Astyanax mexicanus: one gene and its partner. The protein of the gene in region 1 interacts with the protein of each later gene in a pairwise test. Links are inferred from orthologs where the notes say so. Each region holds a gene or a part of one and is shown on either strand. Other genes may lie near its edges.

Region 1 (7,031 bases):
AACGCCTGCACCACTGCCGTGGCGTATGTGAGCGCGAGCGCCACGGGCGGGGGCTGCGAGACCCCCGCGTCTCCCAGCAACTTGAGCTCGTGCGTGCACGCGCACAGCTGCAGCGTGGAGATGAGCTCGGCCGCGTACGCGCCGGTACCTGCCCCGGCCCCGAACAGTAGCCTCGCGCTCGCGCGCCTCGCCAGCTCGCACGCGAGGACGATTCCCGCGAGCACGAGCAGAGAAACCGCGAGGTCCGCCATGGGGAGGTCCGGTGGGGCGTGCGTGGCCTGATTCACGCCTGATTCCCGTTAATCCTCCATCTCTCCTCCGGAGAACCGGCTAAACACAGGCTAACGGCTTTAGCCTATTATTTTGCGCCCGTATCCCGATAAACCACGCCCCCCCCTGTTTTGGGATTTGTCAGTCTCTATCCACACTTAAATACTGTCCGATGATTGGACATCATCACCACTAGTTTTCATCACCACAGTAACCAGAATGCAGTGCAGCATCACCTGCTAATGCTATTAATGCTGTCCATGCACTATTTGCAAGACTGCAACTAGATTCTTTTTGAGATTAATTCCTATCATGCTTCTGGTGGAGTTTACATAAAATACATATAACATATTAAATATCATAGACTTACAACGTTTGTCAGATTGTGAGGTCGGAACTAACTTGTATAATTTGTGTGGGGAAAAGAAGCTTATAGTCAGAGTTGAACACAATATAGACAGAAATAGACCTGACAAGACAAGACAACCATATATAGCTCTGTGATAAAATAAGAGATCACTTCAGTTTCTGAATCAGTTTCTCTGATTTTGCTATTTATAGGTATATGCTTCAGTAAAATGAACATTGTTGGTTTATTCTATAAACTACTTGACAACATTTCTCCCAAATTCCAAATAAAATTGGTCTATTTAGAGCATTTGTGTGCAGAAAATGAGAAATGGCTGAAATAACACAAAAAATGCAGAGCTTTCAGACCTTAAAAATGCAAAGAAAACAAGTTCATATTCATAAAGTTTTAAGTATTCAGAAATCAATATTTGGTGTAATACCCCTGGTTTACAATCACAGTTTTCATGCATTGGCATGTTCTCCTCCACCAGTCTTACACACTGCTTTTGGATAACTTTATGCATTTACCCCTGGTACAAAGATTCAAGCAGTTCAGCTTGATTTGATGGCTTGTGATTAACCATCTTTCTCTTGATTATATTCCAGAGGTTTTCAGTTTGGTAAAATCAAAGAAACTCATATTTTTAAGTGGTCCCTATTTTTTCCCTACAGCTTTATATATAATTTTAGAAATGGTGAGAAAATGATTGAAATATTCAAATACGTCTCTTCCCTAATATCATAAAATCATTCAAGGATATCAAGGAAAGGTGACATCCTTGTCTTGCAGTGTCTTTTTCTCCAACAAGACAATATCAATACTGCAGCTGGCCTGAAGGTGATGCCAGAACACTGTGTAACAGTCTAACAGCGTTATTTCCATTAACAGGCAGAAATGGCAGTCTGTGTCCAGCTCATTCAGCTTGCAGTAATTCTCAAGGGAAATCAATAATGTCAGCATCGCAGCCTTACATTTACGATCAACAATAAATCACAGACCAGTATCTACACGATAACGTTTGGACTTGCATTATTTATAACGTTTAGATGATTATAGCAAGGTAAATGTCTAGTAAGCTGACCAAAAATCACTTTTTAATTTCCTAGTGTAATATGTGATACTACATATGTAATATATATTAAAAAAATATATATATATAATTGGTTAAAGTGCTTTGACCAACAGAGAACGTTATAAGAATGTTTAGCAGCATTTTGAAGATGTTCCTTCCCGGAACATCTTCAAAATGCTGCTAAACATTCTTATACAGGTTAGCCTGTAATTTTATATAAATAATGTTCCAGGAACGTTCTGAAAAGAGTGACATAATAAATGTTTGTTATTAGAACCTTTCTCACGTAACGTTCCCAGCCAGACGAATACTAACGTTATGGAAACGTTAAACGTTAAAACAATTCCAAAGCTAAAAATTAAAACACTGATACAATTGACGTTGCAGCGACGTTACCAGAACGTTTAAAAACGTGAATTGTAACCCTTAGAAATTGTTCTACTGAGAGAACATAAATAATGTTTCAAGAACGTTTTAAAAAAGTGTGACATAATAAATGTTTGTAACACAACGTTATTAGAACGTTTCTCACGTAATATTCCGGCTAGACGAATATTAACATTATGGAAACTTTAAAAGTAACAATTTCAAAACTAAAAATTACATTGCAGCAAATGGCAGCAAAAGTGCCATTGCAGCAACGTTACCAAAACATTTTAAAACGGTAATTGTAACCCTGAGATTTTTTTCTACTGAGAGTTTTGACTACAATTAGCATTTTAAAAATATGTTTTAATATTTTGTTCATGCCATAGAACTCTAATGTTCAGTGACGATTAAATAACATATATAAAACAGTTTAAAATAATATCTTGCAAAAAATATTGACACAAAAAAAAAACAAATAAACCCATAGATTTTAATAAAATTTATTATTCCTGGACGGTGCTTATCAGCACTTCTTACAGGAAATTGAGTAGAACACGTCACCGTTGGTCAGCTCTGCCTGGCAGTAGTATTAGAATAGGGTTCATGAATATTTAAAGAGGCCCCGCCCTCGCTGTGCCCATATTCCATGAAAGCCCCGCCCACACCGGCCTAAGGGGACAGACAGGCGTCCACCTCCCACCTCTATTCCGACAAACCCCGCCCCCTCTGCTGCTATTGGCTAGTAGTTAGGTCATACTCTCTCCGCCGGGTGGACGGTGAGGAGGGTAGAACTGATGGGATTGGTTGATATATATGCAATGAATGTAGTACATTTTGTAGTTTTTAGTTAGAGGTTTTTATTTGAGCATTTTTTTTGCCTTTTGTCCCTTAAATCAGGATAGAAAATAAACGCTAAACTCCAGCTTGTCTATTTCACTGAAATTTTGTTTTACTGAACAAAACAATACATTCACAAGCAGCAGTCCCAATATTATATACAGGTGCTTCTCAAAAAAATTAATTGTATTATTGAAAAGTAATTTTATTTCAGTAATTCAGTTTAAAATGTGAAACACATATATTATATAGATGTATTACACACAGTGTGATCTATTTATTTTATTGTTGATGATTATGGATCACAGCCAATTAAAAACAAAAATCAATGTCTCAAAAAAAATAAATATAATATATAAGACCAATTGGTACCTTTGTCAGTGTGGGCAGTGTGCCAAGTCCTGCTGGAAAATGAAATCTGCATCTCCATAAAAGTTGTCAGCAGAGGGAAGCATGAAGTGGTAAGATTTTGCGGGAAAATACTGTACTGACTTTGGACCAAAACCAGCGGATGACATGACTCTGGGAAACGTTGGCATCAAAATTGTTAGAAAACGTTTTACTAACTAAAATTGTTCACTGGAAAAGTAAAGATTAGTAAAGAGTTTAGAAGAGTAAAGACTCTATTCAATAGAATATTGTATTTTTATTTGCCAATTTGCCAATTTGTCCACTTCTTTTTTATTTTATTTTTGAGATTTTTGAACTACTGATAACTTAAGGCCCTTCTGATTGAGAAAAAACAGTGAAATTTAGAAATTCTATTTTATTTTCATTTTCGTAAAATATATACTGTTTGTGTCACATCACGACCAGTTCTGTGGATTTCGTTAAACTACGTCTACTTAACAACCGGTAAAATGTGCACAGTCTTTGTTTTTTTTATTAAATACAATATAAAACGTTTACTTTTATAAAAACATTGAATAGTTGTATAATTAGAAATGTATACATTAAAAATGTATACTGCAGCGATAATATCCTAACCGTCCAATTACAATGCTCGCCTCCTGATCATGCAGACCAATCAGAGCGCAGGAAAGGCGGGGCACTTCGAATACGGGTGGGATGCGTAAAAATGGCACTGACGCTGACGGACCGAATTTGGAAGCGACCACTAGCAGAGCGCAGGGTGGGCGGGGCTCAATGCAGCAGGGTTGTGTGTGTGAGAGTGTGTGTGTATGTGTGTGTGTGCGCGTGCATGTCACACAATAGCGAGGATCCGGCAAGTTTAAGGTGAATGAGAGGGGCAGTGCACGCGGAGAGAGGAGGTAGAGAGAAGGAGAGAGGAGGTGGAGAACAAGAAGAAAACCGGATTGGGATTTATAATTCGGATCAGCTCCGGTTTCAGAGGTGAGTTTTGTTGGGGAGGGATTGGCACGCGTGGGTACGCACTCAGGCCGGGTACCCCTCTATCTGTCTAGGTATCTATCTATTTATCTGTCTGTCCATCTGTATGTCTATCTATCTGTCTACCAGTGCCCAGACTGGAGGGAGCGTGGTGTTAGGTGGTAGGCATTGGTAGACAGACTGGTAGACATACAGACAGATAGACAGACAGCAGGTCCTGCTATCTGCTGCTGGGTCTGAGCTGTAGGTGTGTGTGTGTGTGTGTGTGTGTGTGTATGGTACAAGAGTTGGCCTCATGTTCTCCAGTTCTTTTCCATTCCACCTTAAAATTCCACCTTAAAAGGTGCAGTCCATACACATACTGGAGAGTCTGAGGCTTCTACTGCTGGGTCTTAGCTGTAGGTGTGTGTGTGTGTATGGTACTAGAGTTGACCTCATGTTCTCCAGCTTCTTAGTTACTGGGATTTTCCATTCCACCTTTCCGCCCATACACATATACTGGAGTGCCTGAGGCATGATGAGACTGGAAAATCCTAATAAGATGCATAAAATTGAATCCTCTGACTTATTATAAGCCATGGGAATGAATAATTTGTATATTAATAATAATTTGATATTAATATGATATATATATATGCTGTGTGTGGACAAGCGTTGTCCTGCTGAAAAGAAATGTTTCATTACCTGAAAGATGAAACCCGCTCCATGACAGGCAAGACATGTGGCTGCTGAGCTGTTATTGTCTCTCGTATCACTACTATGGGTGAACAACTATAGTATGTGTATATGTATAATTTATTTTATTTTATTTAGAAGATGTATTAATTTTATTATAAACAAAATAAGCCTTGTATTCTTTACAATTTGTTAAATAAACTAAACCTTTTGACTAACAGGAGTATGTGTGGTTGGGGAACCAGGAGGGCATGGGGGCCTCGTTATTCTATGTTACGGGCTGACCTAGACCAGGTCGTAACAATATATATATATATATATATATATATATATATATATATATATATATAAATATAACACTTCATTCTAGATCCGGACTATTGCTGATAATTATCTGTCATTTAGAATAAAATAATCTCTGATAATCTGTGAGTACATTTAGCATGTGTTCATTTATGTCTTTTGCTAGTTGTAAAAGTAAAGTTAAAGAACTTCAGTGTATTGTTGGAAGATTTCTGAATGTTTATTTTAATAAATGTTTTATTTGAATTTCCTTTGGTACAAGTTGCTCAATTTGATCCACATTTGAATTCCCCTCCATGATGCTTTCATCTAGTAGACTGGAAGAGGTGATGAAGAAATGATCTGTTTATTTCATAGTTGATGCTGTTTTCATGAAGAACACACTTTTAAATGACCTAACCAATAGATACTGAGCTGTTTGCATTATGCATTTGAAGAAACAGTGAACTGACTAACCTACAAGACTTTAAACACTTAAATTTCATTACAGCATCACAGAAAAACATGGGTATCTGATATGATGCATGAAATGCTTCAGGTTGTTGTTGCAAAATTACAATACTACACACTACTCATGATGTGACACTCTATTGTGATACAGTACAATACATTACATTACAATACAACACAATCTGATACACTGCAGTTACACGCCTGAGTCTCAACCATGCATGAAATTGAATCTGGGTCTCTGCAGAGATGATCCAAACTGATCTTTTTACTCCCTCACTGATCTACTAGAGTGTGTGTGTGTGTGTGTGTGTTAGAGGTGTCACAATACAGTGAAAAAAAGTTTCTACAATAATATTAAATGTGACAGTAGTGGAAAACAGGCATTTGACTTAAATTGCTGATCACAGCGCACTACACCCACTAAAACACCGGTTTTGCCCTTTATGAAAATTGACCAATAAAATGCTCCTGAAAAAACTGGAATACAATCTTTTTACATTGACTTCCAGTGAAATCATAAACTGATCTACAGAAAGTATTATTATTAATTGCTTTCTGCCTCAAGATATCTGGAAAATACTGTTTCCAGAACTTCTTCTTTCTGAATATTATTATTATTATTATTATTATTATAAGAATTTCATTCTGATTTGAAACAATTCTTAAGATCTCTTTATATGAGAGTGATTTTGTGCATCAGGACATCATGAATGTGTTTTGTACAGCCCATATACCTATTCTTCTTTCTATTCTGTGTAAAAAGAGGTATGATTTATATAGTTTTTAATATTATTATTATTATTATTATTATTATTATTATTATATTTTTTCATTCCTCCACTTTCTCCCCAATTTACACAGACAATTACCCAACCCACTCATTAGGACTCCCCCTATCACTAATGATGCCCCAACACACCAGGAGGGTGAAGACTAACACACGCCTCCTCTGATACATGTGAAGTCAGACTCCACCTCTTTTTGAACTGCTGCTGATGCAGCATTGCTGAGTTGCATCACAGCGCAGGAAAGCGCAGCGACTTGGTTCTGAGCCCACAAGAGGTACAATATGTCCCCATTATCTAAATTTGTATACAAACTATTTAAAAAATATATATATATAATAATTAATAGGGGTGGGACAAAATATCAGTATCACAATATTGTTTAGCTGTAGTTTGTGATATATTATTGATACGTGGCGTCAAATATCAATATATTTATTAAAGCACAGGTGCTCTAGACTTTCTATGTCTTGCCTTGATATATCGAGTATTATAATAATGTTATTGTTATAGTGGGCAATTTAATGTGTTATATTATGTCCTGGGATGCCCTGTGATTCCCACC
Region 2 (7,129 bases), on another chromosome or scaffold:
TTTTAAGCTCTGCAACAAAATGCTTAAATAAACACGTGTAGTGTTGGGAACAGTGAAATATGTAGAGTCATTATGCAGAACTGACAGTGTGGAAAGAGTCAATGAGCATACAGCATTTAAGCCTCCACATTTCACAGATATCTGCACTGTTACACTGTTCCTCCTACGATCATGCCAAGAAAACAAGCTTCATGTGTAAAGGGTGTGAGAAGAGCAATGAAGCAATTATAAAAGGAGTTCTTCAAGAGTTATTTACCAAATTAAACGGTTATATTTAAAAACAGGACTACTCAATCATTTAACCGCAACTACTCCTTTCACCAGAAAGAAAACTCATGGAAAACTCAAGCCATGGAATCGGCTAGATTGTGCTTTACACACAAGCCTCTTTGCAAAGAGCCTGCGTGTGAAAGGGAATAATGAAGAGGGAAAAGAGCATCACTTTTGTTCCTGTAACCGTGTGTGACCTCTGCTGGTGATCGGCACTAAGTGAGCACAACCACGCACACACTCCAGCACTGACGGATGACTTTACAGTAGTGAGTGTGTGGCAGCGCAGCCGGAGCGCCATGCCATATTACTGTATCTGTAAGTACTTTAGGACTTTTTACAACAACACTTTTAAGAAAGAGATAGAAAGACACAGAGAGAGAGAGACAGACAGACAGACAGAGATGTGCATTATCTATAGCTGTTTGATATGTTGGAATTGCTGAGAAGCACCACAGTAATTTCCATCAAGCACCTGTCTATTTCTCCCCGAACAAAACAGCTAAAGAGGCAGCATTTCCATTTTCATTATTCGATGTGTTCCCCTTGAGAACATATTGTCCTTAAGTCTGCTAAAACAATAATAATAAGAAGAACAGGAAGAAGAAAAAGAAGAAGAAGAAGAAGAAGAAGAAGAAGAAGAAGAAGAAAAATGGTGTCATGCAAGTAACACTACTTAGTAATGATAACAGTAATTTTACTGTATAAACAACAGCAGCAACATCAATACTAATAACACTAATTATCATAAAAATAAAAACAACCACAGTACTAATAACACTAACTATGTTAATAATAAGAATAATAATAAGAAGAAGAAGAAGAAGAAATATAATTATTATTGCTTTTGTATTAGTATATGCTAGGTTTAGGGTTACAGTAATTGTTATGAAACTTCTGCAACTATTTAGGTCAGTAACGATGACAGTAATTTTACTGTATAAACAACAGCAGCAACAGCAAATAACACTGTTTATGATAAAAGTAATAACAACCACCACAGTACTAGTAATACTACCAATAGTAAAAGGAACAAAAACAACAGCATAAACAATACATAATCAACATCAATCTTAGTGTTAAATGAACAATGCAAATTTCACTATTTAAAATGTTAATTAAGCGTTAATAGGGTTAATTTAACAAACTGGCAAACGGACTGTGTATTAGTAATTATAGCAGTACTAATAATACTAATTATACTAATAACAACAACGACAATAATAGTAAGAAGAAGAAAAAGAAGAAGAAGAAGAAGAAGAAGAAGAAACTCATTATACAAATCGTCATCTTTTGTTTTATCAGACTAAACTGCTATTAAACTGTAATAACACTATAATAAATCGCAAAATCTTCAAACGGGGACTGAGACGATCAGGCAGCTCTACAAGATGTGAGGCATCCGGAGCTGATGAAGTTCTGTGATCAGACTCTCTCTCGTGCAGGATGTTCCACAGTTGCAGTGCTGAAGAACAGCGCATTAAAACCAGTAGTGTATCACAGCTAGCTTACTTTCACCAGGATCTCTCAATTACAGCTGTTAGATTAAACGACTCAGCAGACTAATAAACCCTTAAATATCAGCCCACTTCATCTCTCTCTCTCACACACACACACACACACACACTCCGCAGAGTGATGCTGCAGTGGACCTAATGAGCGGATAACACGCAGCGCTGAGAGCAGAACTCTTACTGTAAGAACATCAGCAGCCTGTAAAGTACTGAAGTGCGCTGAGATCAGTGCTCTCACATGGAAGCATGTGCACAGAAAAGTTCCCCACAAGCAGCGGAGATGCTCCAATGCTCTGTTGCAGATAGCGGGAGTTCTGGGCAAACACGGCGCGTGCCGTCCGTCACCCACCTCTCCACATTTACGCACGCGGAGCCCCGACTCCAATTCCCCTCCACTAAAAAACAACGCGCGCTCTTACCGCTCGAGCGCCGCACGATGTTCTCCAGAAAGGTGTTCTGCGGTGCCACCAGGCCTCTCTTTCCGCCGTGCATCCTGCGCTCCGCCGCGAGCGTCTGTGGCCCAAGCTGAGCGCGCACACCTGGCCGAAGCTGATAGCGAACGTGCAGCGTGCGTGCGTGAGTGTGCGTGTGTGTGCGCGCGTGGTGGACTCGCTCATGGTAACGCTGCGCCCTGCCCGCGCGCCTCGCCCAGCTCCACTGTGGCCCCGGAGCTCCGCCGGCTCCGCGAGCTGCGCGCTCACACACTCTCTCACACACACGCACACACCCGCCCCCAGCCCCCCCACCACCTCCACCACCACTACCGCCACCTCGTGTGCGAGGAACGCGCGTGCGCACTGCGCGCTCCGCGGACACGCTACACAGGCAACAGATGGGAGCTGTCGTGCAGCATCTAAGCATATAACGGAAATGCACGCGCCTGATTAACCTCAGTGTCTCTTTAAAAAAAAAAAAAAACATTTAGGCTGATTATTGTGAGTTTTTTTTTTCTTCTTTTTTTCTAATTGCATATCCCCTGGAGAAATAGACCTTTAAATTTCAGTAAATGTTTAAATAGAAATCTGTTATTAAGTTAAATATTCACCACCAATACGGGATGATGGGGCAAAGCTGTCACGTATCACAGTTAACATTTTTTTTTATTTATTGGTTGTAACTATTTGTAGTTTAAATAGGCTGATTATAAGGGTTATAATAATGGTGAAGTAATTGACAAACGGATAGAGAAACATTATAGGCATATCCTAATTAACTGACGAAAAGTATCTGGCTGTAATGATGAGCAACTTGGATGGATGGATGGATGGATGGATGGATGGATGGATGGATGGATGGATGGATGGATGGATGGATGGATGGATGGATGGATGGAACGCATGGACTAAACAGTAAGATAAATTATTAAAGGAAAATTTGATGGTTGGATGAATTGACAAATTAGTTATTCAATCAATTAATCAATGAACGGAGAGGGGTGGAATTGATAATTGGCAGCTAAAAAAGTGATTTCATAATGAATGAATGAATGAATGAATGAATGAATGAATGAATGAATGAATGAATATCTGGATTGGAGAACAAATACAAATAATCATTTAATCAGTGAATTAATAAATGGCTCAATTGAGATTAAAATAATGAATGCTTAAGTCAATTATAAATATGGTGGGTACATTGGAGAATCAATACACTTATCATTTAGTAAATGATAGTGAGTGGATGAAATCATTGCCAATTTAAAGGATAGATTAATAAAAACATCAGCCATTGGTGGTGGGATTGGAGGAATAGATGGATGGATGGATGGATGGATGGATGAACGGATGGATGAACGGATGGATGGATGGATGGATGGATGGACGGATTGATGGATGGATGGATGGACAAAAAACAGTTTAGCAAAGAAGTTAAGTAATGCTTGGATTAATGAAAGTTTAAAGGATAAATACGCTAATGAATAAAGCATGAATTAATCAATCAATCGATCAAACACTGAGTATATGAAGGAGTGCACCAGTAAATAAACGAAATACTTATTCGTGGAAGGATGAACTGGAGTCGTATAGGCAAATTCATTTTTTTTTTTAATTCATTCATTATCTTCAACAGGTAATTATTGGTGGTGTAGATTAACAGAAATTGGAGAGTATGGAGGGATGAGGGGATGAATGACAGCAGTGCGCAGTGGTGGAGTGCTGAGGAGTGAAGTGCTCCAACTGCTGGATTACTCCTCCTCCACCCCCCCTTCTCTCTCTCTCTCTCTCTCTGGATTCCCCCTCGCTGAGTGGGACAGAGCCCCCATTGTTTCCAGCCCACCGCTGCCTAATATGGACTTGGCCAGCAGCAGCGGAGCTCTCTGATTTCCTGAACTCGGCCATGGCGCGCGGAGAGCCGCGGGAGCGCCGCGTGAGGAGAGCGCGCGCGAGGACGCGGGATGAGAGCGGAGAGCGTGGCTGCCGGTTTGTGTGAACGCGCGTGCGAGCGACGGCGCTGCTGGCCGGAGGTACGGGAGCTGAGAGCGCGAGGAGGAGAAGAAGCGAGCGGGTTTGAAACAGGAGGCGACAGGAGGAGGGCGCGAGCTACGGAAGCGCGCGCGAGAGCGTCCCGGTGAGAAATTACTGTAGCCGTTGTCCCCTAGGCGGAGCGCCATGCCTGCGCGCGGGAGGCGGAAAAGCCCCGGCGGAGCGGCGGCGGCGGTGGAGACGGTGGGGGAAGGCGGAGACGCCGCGGCGGCGACTAAGAAGATGTTGAAGTGTGTGGTGGTCGGGGACGGAGCGGTGGGCAAGACGTGTTTACTGATGAGTTACGCGAACGACGCTTTCCCCGAGGAGTACGTGCCGACCGTGTTCGACCACTACGCAGGTAAGCCCGGTATTTACTACAGCTGAACAGTCCCGGGGAGTACAGAGCCGGGGTCCGGACAGGGCCCTCCGAGTGTAGTTCAGTCTAGTGTTCTCTTACACCTCCCCTCCCCTCTTACTCCCAACACAGGCCCGAGAACAGGCGCTGAAACAGGAGCCGGGTTAAACTCCCACGCCGAGGACTGTCAGGCCTGAGACTGAGCTCACTAATCTAACTTCTGCCCTCTCACACTTTACACAGTGCTGTCTGTCAACAGCTGCTTTAAGAGCTGCCTAATAGATATAGCCTACAAAACACGTGTACAGTCACCTGTGTGTATACAGTGCAGTGTAGGGAAGTCAGACCAGGCCAACCTGTTGATCCCAAACTGAATCTAATCTCTAAACTCTATATCCAGAACAGAGTATAGAATACAGAATATAAAAATTATAGAGTATAGAATATAATGTTGTATCCTTTAATCTATCATATAGCTCTGGAAGAAAATAAGAGACCACTTAAAAACTATGAGTTTCTTTGATTTTACCAAATTGAAAACCTCTGGAATATAATCAAGAGGAATATGGATGATCACAAGTCATCAAATCAAGCCGAACTGCTTGAACTTTTTGCACCAGGAGTGGCATAAAGTTATTCAAAATCAATGTGTAAGACTGGTGGAGGAGAATATGCCAAGATGCATGAAAACTGTAATTAAAAACCAGAGTTATTGCACCAAATATTGATTTCTGGACTCTTAATGAGTATGAATATGTACTTGTTTTCTTTGCATTATTTGAGTTCTGAAAGCTCCGCATTTTTTTGTTATTTTAGCCATTTCTATTTTCTGTTAATAAATGCAGAAAATTAGAAATGTCTAAAATGAGAAATTGTCTAAATTACAATATTTTTATTTGGAATTTGTGAAAATGCTGTCCGTAGTTTATAGAATAAAACAAAAATGTTCATTTTACTCAAACATATACCTATAAATAGCAAAATCCGAGAAACTGATTTAGAAACTGGTCTCTTAATTTTTTAAAGTTTTAATGTCTGTTTTAATCACATTGACTAAGCAAAAAACCTTAACTATAGTCTGAGCAACAATATGTTTTAGGTTGAGTGAGAAAAAAAAGAACATTTGTAAAAATATGTTTCTGAGTTTTATTGTGTTGTAAAAGACTAGAGTTTTACAGTGTACCAAAAAAGAGTAAGTAAAGTCATATAGTTACTGTAGGTTGTACTAACCAACACTTTTTTATAAGGTTTAAGCAACTTCTGAGTTAGTATAGTCTACTCACAATTACTCTTTCAAACAACAAAATAATTTTAAATGAAACATACTGTTAAGACATTCTAAACAACCCATTTATGTATGATGACATTACTCAACATCACACTAAGGAATAGATTGTTTCACTTTAAACTCTGAATAAGGGACAGCTAGGTTCTTAGAATTTAAATGACTGTGACATTAACAGATGCCAGTGTTTCGAATGGCTTAATTCTGTAGTAGTGCATGAATGGTCACTGTTGGCCTCAAGCCAACATAAAGCCTCACTTAGCAGCAGAAAAAAGGATTAACCTTCTTTTACAGTTTTTAGCACTGAAATGAGGCAGCTAGACATAGGGAAGGTGGCCTGTGGGGATGACTATACACTGGTATGAATCAGAGGGGGTGGTATGTCCAGTATGCAAATGGTTGGTATCAGGAGCCAATGAGAACCAAGGTGTAAGTTTTATTCATAATTGTGGCAGTGACCAAACTTAAGACACACCCCCCCCCCCCCCCCCCTCAAAAAAAAACTTCACCTACTGAAACAACTCATGAGATGAGTGTCTCTTTGCACTTCATTTAATTACATTTCACTCTATGGCCATCAATACTGTCTGGAGCAAGTTAATGAGATGAGTAGTGAGTAATAGATTAGTAAATACTGCAACATGAGGGTAAATGTCCCTCTCAATAACCCTCTTAACACTTTTAAAGAACATAAATATACACTAACATGCCACATGTCATGAGACAGCATCTGGTATTGTTCCATGTTCCATGGAAGCTGAAGTATGCTGCATTGACATGTATGATATCCAAAAATATCTACAAATCTTGGAATAAAATGTAATGAAATCAAATCTAACTGGCACCCACTATCAGACCTTACTCAAACTTAAATAATAATTCTTGTAGTCTTGCCATGAGCACACTGGCCACTGGTCTTCAGCCTCATTCACAAGATAACAGCTCACAGCGTATAAAGTTATAAATGTTTCCAGGCCATTCCCTAAGATAAATAATGTCATAATCAGTTGTTCATACTGTTAGTCGTAATTTTGGAATGTCAGTGCAGACCTGATATGACTTTTGTCTCATCTGTGTAAAGGATGTTCTTCCAGAAGCATTGCTACTTGCCAATATGCGTTTTAGCAAAGTCCAGTTTAAATATTTTATGCTTTTCTTACAGTTGTAGGATTCTCCCGGGTCATTTTCCGTGGAGCCAACAACAGATGGTGCAATCAAACTCTGCTTTACCTTAACCTTG

What was found.
Region 2: the proteins of pak1 (region 1) and rhoj interact in binary tests that used the Homo sapiens proteins (3 or more experiments, as listed by UniProt). The link is inferred for Astyanax mexicanus from reciprocal best matches to the Homo sapiens genes PAK1 and RHOJ.

Annotation. Positions count from the first base shown.
Region 1 is NC_064416.1:5,300,705-5,307,735, reverse strand, and holds the start of pak1 (serine/threonine-protein kinase PAK 1), read left to right. Parts: upstream 1-4,029; 5' UTR 4,030-4,253; intron 4,254-7,031. Other genes in the region: aqp11 (aquaporin-11), read right to left, coding at 1-251. UniProt on the Homo sapiens protein: Protein kinase involved in intracellular signaling pathways downstream of integrins and receptor-type kinases that plays an important role in cytoskeleton dynamics, in cell adhesion, migration, proliferation, apoptosis, mitosis, and in vesicle-mediated transport processes.
Region 2 is NC_064408.1:70,190,356-70,197,484, reverse strand, and holds the start of rhoj (rho-related GTP-binding protein RhoJ), read left to right. Parts: upstream 1-4,048; 5' UTR 4,049-4,393; coding exon 4,394-4,607; intron 4,608-7,129. Other genes in the region: kcnh5a (potassium voltage-gated channel subfamily H member 5a), read right to left, coding at 2,204-2,276.